Linked DNA regions of Drosophila melanogaster. The protein of the gene in region 2 interacts with the protein of the main gene of each other region in a pairwise test. Each region holds a gene or a part of one and is shown on either strand. Other genes may lie near its edges.

What was found.
Region 1: the proteins of nebu (region 2) and CG10527 interact in a two-hybrid assay, tested with the Drosophila melanogaster proteins (one large-scale study listed by BioGRID).

Annotation. Positions count from the first base shown.
Region 1 is NT_033778.4:21,069,648-21,074,559, forward strand, and holds CG10527 (uncharacterized protein), read right to left. Parts: upstream 3,143-4,912; 5' UTR 3,088-3,142; coding exon 3,078-3,087; intron 2,249-3,077; exon of another isoform or gene 2,157-2,248; coding exon 1,755-2,156; exon of another isoform or gene 1,414-1,754; coding exon 935-1,413; 3' UTR 721-934; downstream 1-720.
Region 2 is NT_037436.4:12,829,454-12,834,535, forward strand, and holds the start of nebu (nebulosa), read right to left. Parts: upstream 3,099-5,082; 5' UTR 2,610-3,098; coding exon 2,430-2,609; intron 1-2,429.

The DNA.
Region 1 (4,912 bases), on a different chromosome or scaffold from region 2:
TGTGTCCAAACATTATTACCTCTAATCAATGAGACCAATTTAATATAGACTATTATATTTTATAAGCTTCACATTGGCAGAAGGGTATTTTTGGGTCTGTAAATATGATACTTTTATTATTTTAAAGCCATTTCAAAGCCAGGTGTTCAAAGAAACATAAAAAGGTTAGTTGCTGACCTAAAAACTTCACATGCTGGTTACTGACTTTAATATAGTTGATAGACTAAACCGACTCAGTTATACCCTTAATTTAAATGTAAATAGGCCAATATGATATGTTTCATTCATTTTAAAAATGAATAAAAGAAAACATGTTTTGGTATAAATATATATATATATAGCAATATGTTCCTTGTACTGCCAACATTTCAACTAACTTTGTATGAGTGTTTTATGGGTTCACTGATAATGAGATTAGGAATAGATTTTCATTGAGTGGGAGTAAATTATTTTCAATTGCCTGCTTAAACTAATCTATAGATTTCAGTCATTTCATTTCAGTCATGATTTTATTAAAAAAAAAGAATGTTTGATACTAATTTCATTGAGTACAAATGGATTAAAAGGTGATTAATGATTGCGATAGAACTGTTAGATTCACTAAAACCAAAATCCAACTAATCTTAACACACCACTTTTTTGAAAAATTAAAGCAGCTATTCAGCTTATTTTATATTTATTTCCAAGCTTAATGAATGCAAATAAGTGCCTATTTCAGATATGTTATTTTCTTAAACATATTTATTGTTTATTAACCAATTTCGTTGAACAATGTAATAAACTTTTCGACATAATATAGAGATTCTTTAACAGTTTTGAGTAGAAATGCACATATAAATAAAATAAAATTTCTGCGACCAGTTGAACTGTAAAGCGCTCAGATTAACTGATTTAAAACGTTTTGTTTCAGTGCGTTGGACATTCGATCCGTGGCTTAGTTGGTCACATAGATTTCGAACTCCTTGTAGGCCAGCTCCTCGCCGCCGTACGGAATGTAGCAGCATCCGTGGGAGGGCTGCACCTTGCCCACAGTGATAGTTCCGTCGTGGGTGGCACGGCCGATGAACAGTGGTTCGCCCTCGGCGGTCTCTCCGGCAGGCAGGGCGTTGGGCGGGATGTTTCCGGCATCCACGGGCAACCACTGGCCGCCGCCGGCGCACAGCACCTCGTATTCGGCGTGGCCGTGCTCACCACCTCCCCAGGCTACGTAGGTCACTCCGTGGGAGGGATGCAGCTTGCCGGGAATGAGGTCGCCCTCATGGCGGGCACGGGCGATGTACAGCTGCTCGCTGCTGTCGAATCCTCCCTCGAGGGCGTTGGGTGGCACCTCACCGTTGGCGGCGGGCACCCAGCATCCTGGTCCGCTTCCTGTGGGCGCGGCGAAGCCCATGACGGGAGCCGATGGAGCGGGCTCTGCAAGGAAATAGTGGCATTTGTTAGAAATTCATGAAATCATTAGCAAATCTTATACATATATGTATATATAATAGGCAAATACATATTTATAGCAAGGATATAGTCTTGGAGAGCAATTAAGTGTTATTGATCAGTACTCAATAGTACCAACTCTACGAGTAGCGGGTATAGTAATACTCGATATTCAAACTGAAGCAGCTGACTAGACAATAGATGCCATTGAGCAGCTGTAGAACAATAGCTAACTTAGATCATTACGATGGGTAAACTAATCAGAGAGGGTAAACACCTGTGCTTTCCGTTTGATAGAAAAGGCGTGGAACAGAGTGTAAACTCACCATCAATCAGCCAGGTGCCGCTGGCACCCCATCCCGTGCAGATGCCGACGAAGTTGACCGGGAACAGGCTACCAGCATCGTAGGAAAGGAAGGCGGCGGCGTCTCCTTCGCGGCCAACGGTGATGACATTGTCGTACCAGCGCACCCAGAAGCCACGGAACTCTCCGGCATCTAGGATGCCCGGAGTGGGCACCTCAGCGACTTCGGGCTTCTGGCGGTCCTTGCGGATCACCGACTTGGTGTTCTCCCATCCTCCCAGAAAGATCTCGAAAATGGGACCGTTCTCCTCGGGCGCGGGTGTGAGTGCCAAATGAGCATCCTTGGGGGAACGCACCTTGAAGGTAAAAACTCCACCGCTGGCGGGGAAGAATTGGTACTCCAACTTATCGGGGGTGTTGACTTCTGCAAATGAGATGGCATATTAGTACAAATTCTCAGAGGCAACTGTACACTCGGCTACGTTTTTCTGAGCCAACTGTACCCACTACTACTTTGAAAGGTGGGAAAGTTTTGAGGTTTGAATTAACAACCTCAAACATGAGAATGTTGTCATAAAAAATACTTGAACTGGAAAGAATTCGTAGCTATTTTTATGTTTGTTAGGTTTCTACGTACATATAAACATACATATATCAGCATGTTTAGCGTCTGTTTTTGTTTTCGCTTGCTTATTAGCACCATTCGCATGATGTCATTTAGATCGCCATCAGTTCTTCGCAACAAATTGTTCTAGCTAATTCCACTCAAGCTTAATTTCGAGTTTTGAGCTCTGAGCCGGCTCTACTGCCACTCGAGCGACAAACATTTGCCCAGATATATGCGAGGTTTGTGCTATTCACTTTGAATAGATTACACGAATGGTTTCTCAAGCAGCATTATTTCGCATGACATCATTGGAGGTGCATCTTTCGTCTGACCTCCCTAGGGTCAACCCTGCTGAATTCCTATTGATTATTGTCGGAGTTCAAGGCGAAGACCAGTGACTCATCGCATATGGTGAACAATTTCGGACACCTTTGGTCGAGAATCAATTCGATGGGTCATAAATTAGGCCAAATAAAGGCAGTCCAATATGTATAGCATATTGCCGTTAATTGAATCTGGACGATCACAAGGTGAAAGTCGCTTGTATTTTTCACTGGTAAAAACCCAGCATAGATAAAGAATGGGATGTTTCGATTCTAGGAATTGGACGACACAATGCTATTTTGGTCGTGGGCCAAAAATTCCGCCGCACATTTCCCTATCTTTAAATTCACCCAATTATCCATTCCATTATCCAACTGCTCAGGGCACTCCACCCACACCCACTGGGAAACTCACCGATTGGCATGATTGCTGTTTCAATCAACGATGTTCGCTTACTGAGATTCTGATTCAAACTGCCCCAATGGAGCCCAAATGCCGGCGAGGTAAGCAATGCTAAAAAACCGAGACGGTGAGAGAGTAAAAGCTCCAAGAGCTTTGGCGCTCTCACTTGCAAAGTGGGAGATCGTTGGCCATATAGAAAGTATTCGAACTGTACCAGCTCGAATAGCTAACTTATTCACATAGCGGTATACTGCACATGCTAAGGCTTATCTTTAATTATTTTAAAGGCAATTATTTTTCTTAAATGTAAATCTTAATTAAAGGCTGATAATTTCTAGCATAATGGCATAGCTTTAAAAAAAATTTCTTTACTTACAAATGTACATATAACTATTTTGTACATGGGCACAATATTAGATAATTGTAATTTCCTTTTTAACTTTTTGTTCCCTGGACTTTCACCTCGTGGTAAGGGCATGTAAGCTTCGGTATAACTAAGGTAGTTTTGTCACCTAGTTTTGCTTAAGAGGTCTATGACTCAGGTTGGCAAAAGCTGCTGCTTAGTCATCAGAACCATAAGCAAGCTTTTATTGCTAAAATGCTTTTTCTATGGGCATGATAATTTTCATATCGCTATGCGAATAAATATTTACTATTTACTACTGTATGCAAGGTGTACAATTAGTATGCAAGGCACTTAATGATGTGACCTATTCCAAAAAAGGAAGGCCCTAAAAAAATCTATTAAATAATGAGCTATAAATTGGTTAAAAGAATTGGTTGATCTTAAAATAATGAATTTCTTGAGTATAAGAGACTTACTTCTATACTCTATGATGTTCCAATGCTTCTAAAATATATGATTAACTTTCATTTCAGCTAGGGTACATTCTATTCGATCAACTTGTGTTTCGCCTTCGTTTGCCGTTAGTAGTGTCGTCACTTATTTTGGCGTCATGTGCCGCTTTTATATTGTGCGGTCACATGGATATCCAAACCAGGGCATCAAAAGCTACTGTCAATGATTTCACCGCAAGGGTCCAAAATGGTTGATGCTGACATAATGTGCTAGACTCTAGACAACAATAATAATAAGATTACCCATTGGGTCATCATTTATTTATTGCGCTGCCGAAGTAGATTTAAAAAAGTATAGTTGCAGCATATGGTAGCATACTTTTGGGGTCACCCTCTAATTGAGTGCCAAATGGTAAGACTGTTTTTTTTTACCATGCTTTTTTATCCGTCCTGTGACGGAAGCGGGATTATCTTTCTTTACGTCACCACTGCTTATTTCTTGGCCTCTCAATGTCAGTCGGTTTTCTTTCGTCTCGCCGGTTGGTCGCACTTTTTTTTACATTTATATCGAAACAACGTGCATGCGCAGAAATCCCCACGAAGTAATATTGTCTAAAATAAACAAATTGTTATTTGTGTTCCCAGCTGCCGGTGGCCGTGCCAAATTGTCTTGTGATAAGAGTAGATCAATTGCTCACGCCGTGCAACTTGGTGTATTTATAACGGAGACAGCTGAACACACAGCCAAAAATATATAAACATACATACACACATACTGTGCACGACGACAGACGAGTAAACAAACAATGCACTGCTCAGGAAAGGACTTAATTTGTTCTTAACTGTGGCGTAGTACTAGATCATTTTACAAAGAGGTTACACTCGTGTTGTTTGGGTCAGTTCAGTAGAAGCATGGAAAATGGCTTCTTAAATATTTTTAAAGGCTCTAGGCGAAACATTGTTGTAGTTTGTTCTTTGTTTCGTTTGTTATGAGTCAGGCGTCTGAAGTTTAACCTTAATAAGTATAAAACGCATGCCGTCAAAATATT
Region 2 (5,082 bases):
ATTTATGGCTATTTCTTCGTCGCCTATAACTTGCCTCATCTCATGTGTCGCCGCCCACTGGCGAATCCCACTCAAAGTTCCATTGCCAATCTGGCGACCCACGCGAAACGAAGGAGCAGAGAACAAATCACTTCCGTGAAAATGCACGCCAAGATTTGCAGCTGGAAAAAGGAGAAGGCCATGTGGCAACAGCACAGGCGTATATGTACATATACGCCCACATATTAACTGTCACTTTGCTCTGGTCGACTGGGTGACACACCTCCAGATTGCCAGTCGCGACTAAGCGAAGCGTTCAAATCTCGCGTCTGAAATCGATATCTGTCCACGATTCTGTGCCTTGGTTTGTTTGAGTTCCGTCTGCGGCTAATGTGGTCAATCCATTGCCTGTCTGAGTGCCTTCCTGTCGTTCTGTATCTAAAATTAGTATTACTGCCAGTTAAAGTCCCCCACTTTCGGGTGCTAAGTCCCACCGCCCCCGCAAACCCGTTGATGATACTGGCCAAATGGGCGGAGGTTCAAGTTCGTTTCAATGTCAGTGGCAGGCGCAACAGTGCGCGTCATAAGTAAGAATGGTAATTTAATATGCCTTTTGGCATTCCTCTAAACTGGTTAACTGTAGAGCATAAGCCAATTCCGCTTAAATACTCCATAATTATTGAGTGGTCTAGGTTAATATATGCACAATAATCCCGGGCTATTGCTCATAAAATTTGCATAAAAATAGTTCGAAAAATTCCTACTACATTTTACGCGTATTTATGGAAACAGTGCTTATTATTAAGATTATTTGGTTTTTAAAATACCTTAATAAATGTGCACCCATCTTTTTTTGAATAATTCCTCTAAGGCCTTGAGTATATCGTGCTACTTTCAATATTATACTCAAAACTATTCAAAGTTGTTTTATAATGGCTTAATTTGGTGTGTATTACGATGACAATGAAAGTGAAAACGGTGATGGCTTTATAACCATCATAGCGAACCATTTAGGGCAACTCATTGATATTCAAAAAATGTGCCACACTTCATTATCGAACTGGCCGAGTTTTTTATAATTTTGTGGGTCGCATTTTAAAACGTATTCAAATGGTAGTCATAAAATCATTCCAGTGTCTATATAAGTGCATTTCTTTTTAGAGTTAAAGGGGTGTCGCATTTATTTAATGCGTGTGTTCTTTGTACTAAAATAAACACCCACAAAATTGTTGACTCATTTTGGGAATTCAGTGTATTCAAATTCAAATTTATTTAATGCGTGTGTTCTTTGTACTAAAATAAACACCCACAAAATTGTCGACTCATTTTGGGAATTCAGTGGAACGAGTTTCAATTGAATTTGTCTGATAAAATTCATATATGTACGTATGGTTTCGGTTATTCCAAAACAAAACCGTATTGTGACCATTGTTATTTCTAGTTTCTACTTTCGGGGAATCGGGAATACGCCCCTATTTTTGAAGTGCTCACTTATCACATTATTCTTTGCAAGGCAAAATTAATTTTCTATAGGTAATGATTTGTATTTCATAGCATTTGTTCGCCTATTGTGACCATGTTCAACATAAAACCAAATAAAAATAGAAAGTTTCCACATTGTTTTTGGAACGGAACTCATTAGTTTGATAAGCTGTGCGATCCATCAATGAACGCTTAGCTACCAGAATGTAGCAAAACGTACTGGATTTAAGATAAAGTCCACTGAAAAACATTATTGTGTTTTCATTGTTTATCGCTTAAAATACATGTATGTATGTTAAGCGGATAAGGTATGTGAACTCGTGCGGTTTCAGAAAAGGCAAATTATACTCTATTTTCTTTGTTTGTGCTCTCGCTTGATAGAGATAGCTTTTGGAATTGGAAAAATACTCATTTCAGCCTGATAATTGCCTGGTAAACTATTTATATCTCGTATCTTTTAGCGGCAACATCTTTCTGCTTTCAGCCCCTCATTTACTTCTGCAACAACAAAGATTGTTTGCCTATTTTGAGCAAATATTTGGAGCTACAACGCAGATTTTTAATGCCCTTACATTGGAAAGGCATCACAACTTGATTATTTTATATTGAGGGCATTTGTATATTTGCTGCTTAAGCAACTTTATTTCCTGTCTCGTTTTTCACACTGCGTTAATTGAACTTTCGCCGTGGTCTCTCAGCCAAGGTCAACATCAAAAGATGCATTATAACTTGGCTAACCAGCTGGACAGCGTTAATTAACTAAAGTTAAGCAAGCACTGAGAAAAAAACATAAATACAGAGCACAAGAAATAATTAACGATTAAGTCTTTAGGCTCTGAGCGTAGTAGAAATAGTTTGTTTCTTTAAACATAAGTTTCAACTAATCATAATTTGCAAAATTTCAAACTTATATATGTCTTATTTTTCTCAGTGCTCTTATCTATGAAAACATGCGAATCTTTGCGTACATGTGGTGTGGAGCTGGTGCGTCCATTATCGCTGGCTTTGACGATTTTGACCGGCTGTCTGGAGCCGTACTTGGCTCCATTTTCGGCGGATTCCAGCAGGTGGGAGCTCTCCTCGTTGTTGGAGCCGGACTTTTTGTTGGCCTCCTCGCCGCTGGAGTTGCTCGACGATGCGGTGGACATATCGAAGGGATTATGTAAACTTCGGTAGGATTGCACAGTTACGATGGGGGATATGTATTTCAATATTCTTCGGCGATTATCCGTTAACTTCTGCCCGCTTTTCTCACTTGGAACTGCACTTTAGCTTTGGCGATGTGATAATGTTGAGCAATGCGTCAATGTCTGTGAAATGTCCTTTGGCTTGCGTTTTTTGTCCTTTAACACGTCGGCCACCCACGTAGCATGGAATACTTTAGGGCGCATGCGCATCAACAATCAAACATGTTGCTGGCCAAAAAATGTATTATTTTGGCCCTTCTTTGCCCCTCTAATTAGCCAGTAAACTGGGCGATATGACACGAGTTTCGTTTAAGATATATGGATATTTTTGGATATGTATCGGTTGGCTCATCGATGTTTCCGCAGTGCCACTCGCGAGTATCTTATTTGTGCGCCGGGAGTATCTTTGTATCTTTAACCGCACGCAACGAATGTTGGCTAGCAAATGGCGCGTCAAACAACTAAAAAGGCCTCCGCCGGGCTCTGCTATGTGGACTTGCCGCTCTCCCAGTTCCCCGGATTCTCTTGCTGGCTCTCTTTCGGTTTGGTCTTGGGCCGCCTCGGGAAACTGGTCTGGTGCCGCTCTCCAGCGACCATACATTGGGGTGAAGTCTATATCCATAGGAGGCTATTGACTCTTGGCGGCAAAATCCAAACTGGAATTGCAGGCGCCTACGTTGCTCAGATTTTTGGATTTTTATTTCGGATCGTTCTGCTTGAAATTGCATTCAACGACGCGGCATGGATGTCGCTGTGCGTGTGTGCATGTGCATGTGGATGCAACTTTCGATGCACAGTCCAGCTTATGGGGCGCATCTCCATCTCATGGGTTTACACATTTTGCATCTGCCTCTCCATTAAGTCAAGGCAATGCTGATTTATGCATCTCCAATTGATTCGAATTGTCGAAGGACTATTCCGTAATTAGCTTTGATTGATAACTTTGATGTGAAAGTATTAAACTTTTTGAAAAATTTTATAACTAACTTTATAGTAATATCCACAAACTCAGTGATAATTAATACTTTTGCAGAATATATAACTTCAAATATATTACTTATTATAGTTTTATTAATAGCGTAGATATATACAGGTAAAGACAAAAAAATACATTTGCTTATTATAACAGAAAACCATGGTAAAAGACGATTAAAATGCACTTTTACTATATAGTTGGCCACGTGTCTTTATCTTTACTGAACTTCCGTATGCACAGATAGATTATATATGTAGATACAAAGTCAGACGAACAAATGCATTCGCTCTCCTTCCACCTACGGAATCGGGAAGTACGTGGATCTAAAGATATATCTTTGTACACACTCGATGCTTGTTCAAATTGTAGAATTTCCATTATCATTTCCAATTCCATTTGGCCAGGAGGGAAGTACTGTTTGCCTAGCTGCGAGTGGGTACGTTCAATGGATCACGTTTGTTGTTTGGCCGGAAAATGCGGCTGCCACTGAGCATAATGGATTGCCTCTTTTGGTGGGTAAAAATAAGCATTTTCACGCTTTGGGCCGTTTTAATAAACAAACATGACACTGCTCGAAAGCCATAAATGGGTCAGATAATTAGAAATGGTTAAATTTCAGGAATTTTTATTACGACCTCTCAAACATTAAAATGTTTACATATGCACGTGAAATGCATTCCGCATTTTATAATTTATTCAGGCACATGGTATTTATAAAAGTACATCCAGATACTCAGGAAAGGTTTTGCGCAGAAATTAAAATCTTAAAAAAGACTAACAAATATTTAAGTACACACTTCGATTGTTATAAAAAGAATTTTCAAGCAATAATTATTTTTTTCTTTTTTACATATTTCCATAAAAATACCAATATATTAATATAATAAAATAAACAATTATTGATTGAAAATGTTTTTAAAGATAATAACACGCATAATAGCACATGAAAATGGCTTAAGCCCATCTTTTTTTTTTTTTACTGTACGCACTTTAAAAGTTTGCCATGGTGAGCTTGTTCTAACGCAACCCCGTTATCGTTTTGCAAACGCGCTTGGCGAGCACCCTTAACCTTGTCCTTGTGCCCGCCACCATTAACCCCCCGCTGGTGGCAGGGGGCGTTAACGCGCAGATTGTGGCGGGACTTGGAACACAACCAAACATTTGGCACGCTCCACGATGGGAACAGGCTCGCAGAGCGCCTAAAAGCAGGCTCACCTGCTGCGAAAGCGTTTGCGTAGATACAGAAAGTATATGCTGGCTACTGAAAGTATCTGTATCTACAACCAGCGCACGCAGCACAACACTATACATACTAATTACTCGGTGCGATGGAAAAGGCCAAAAGGGTGAAACGATAAAATACCAACGGCGTTATGCAACAGAAAGCTCATTAGCACTGGGCCAAGTTGACATAGGCTCTGCAATTTGTTGGCCAGTTCAGTGAAACTACGTCAGCAG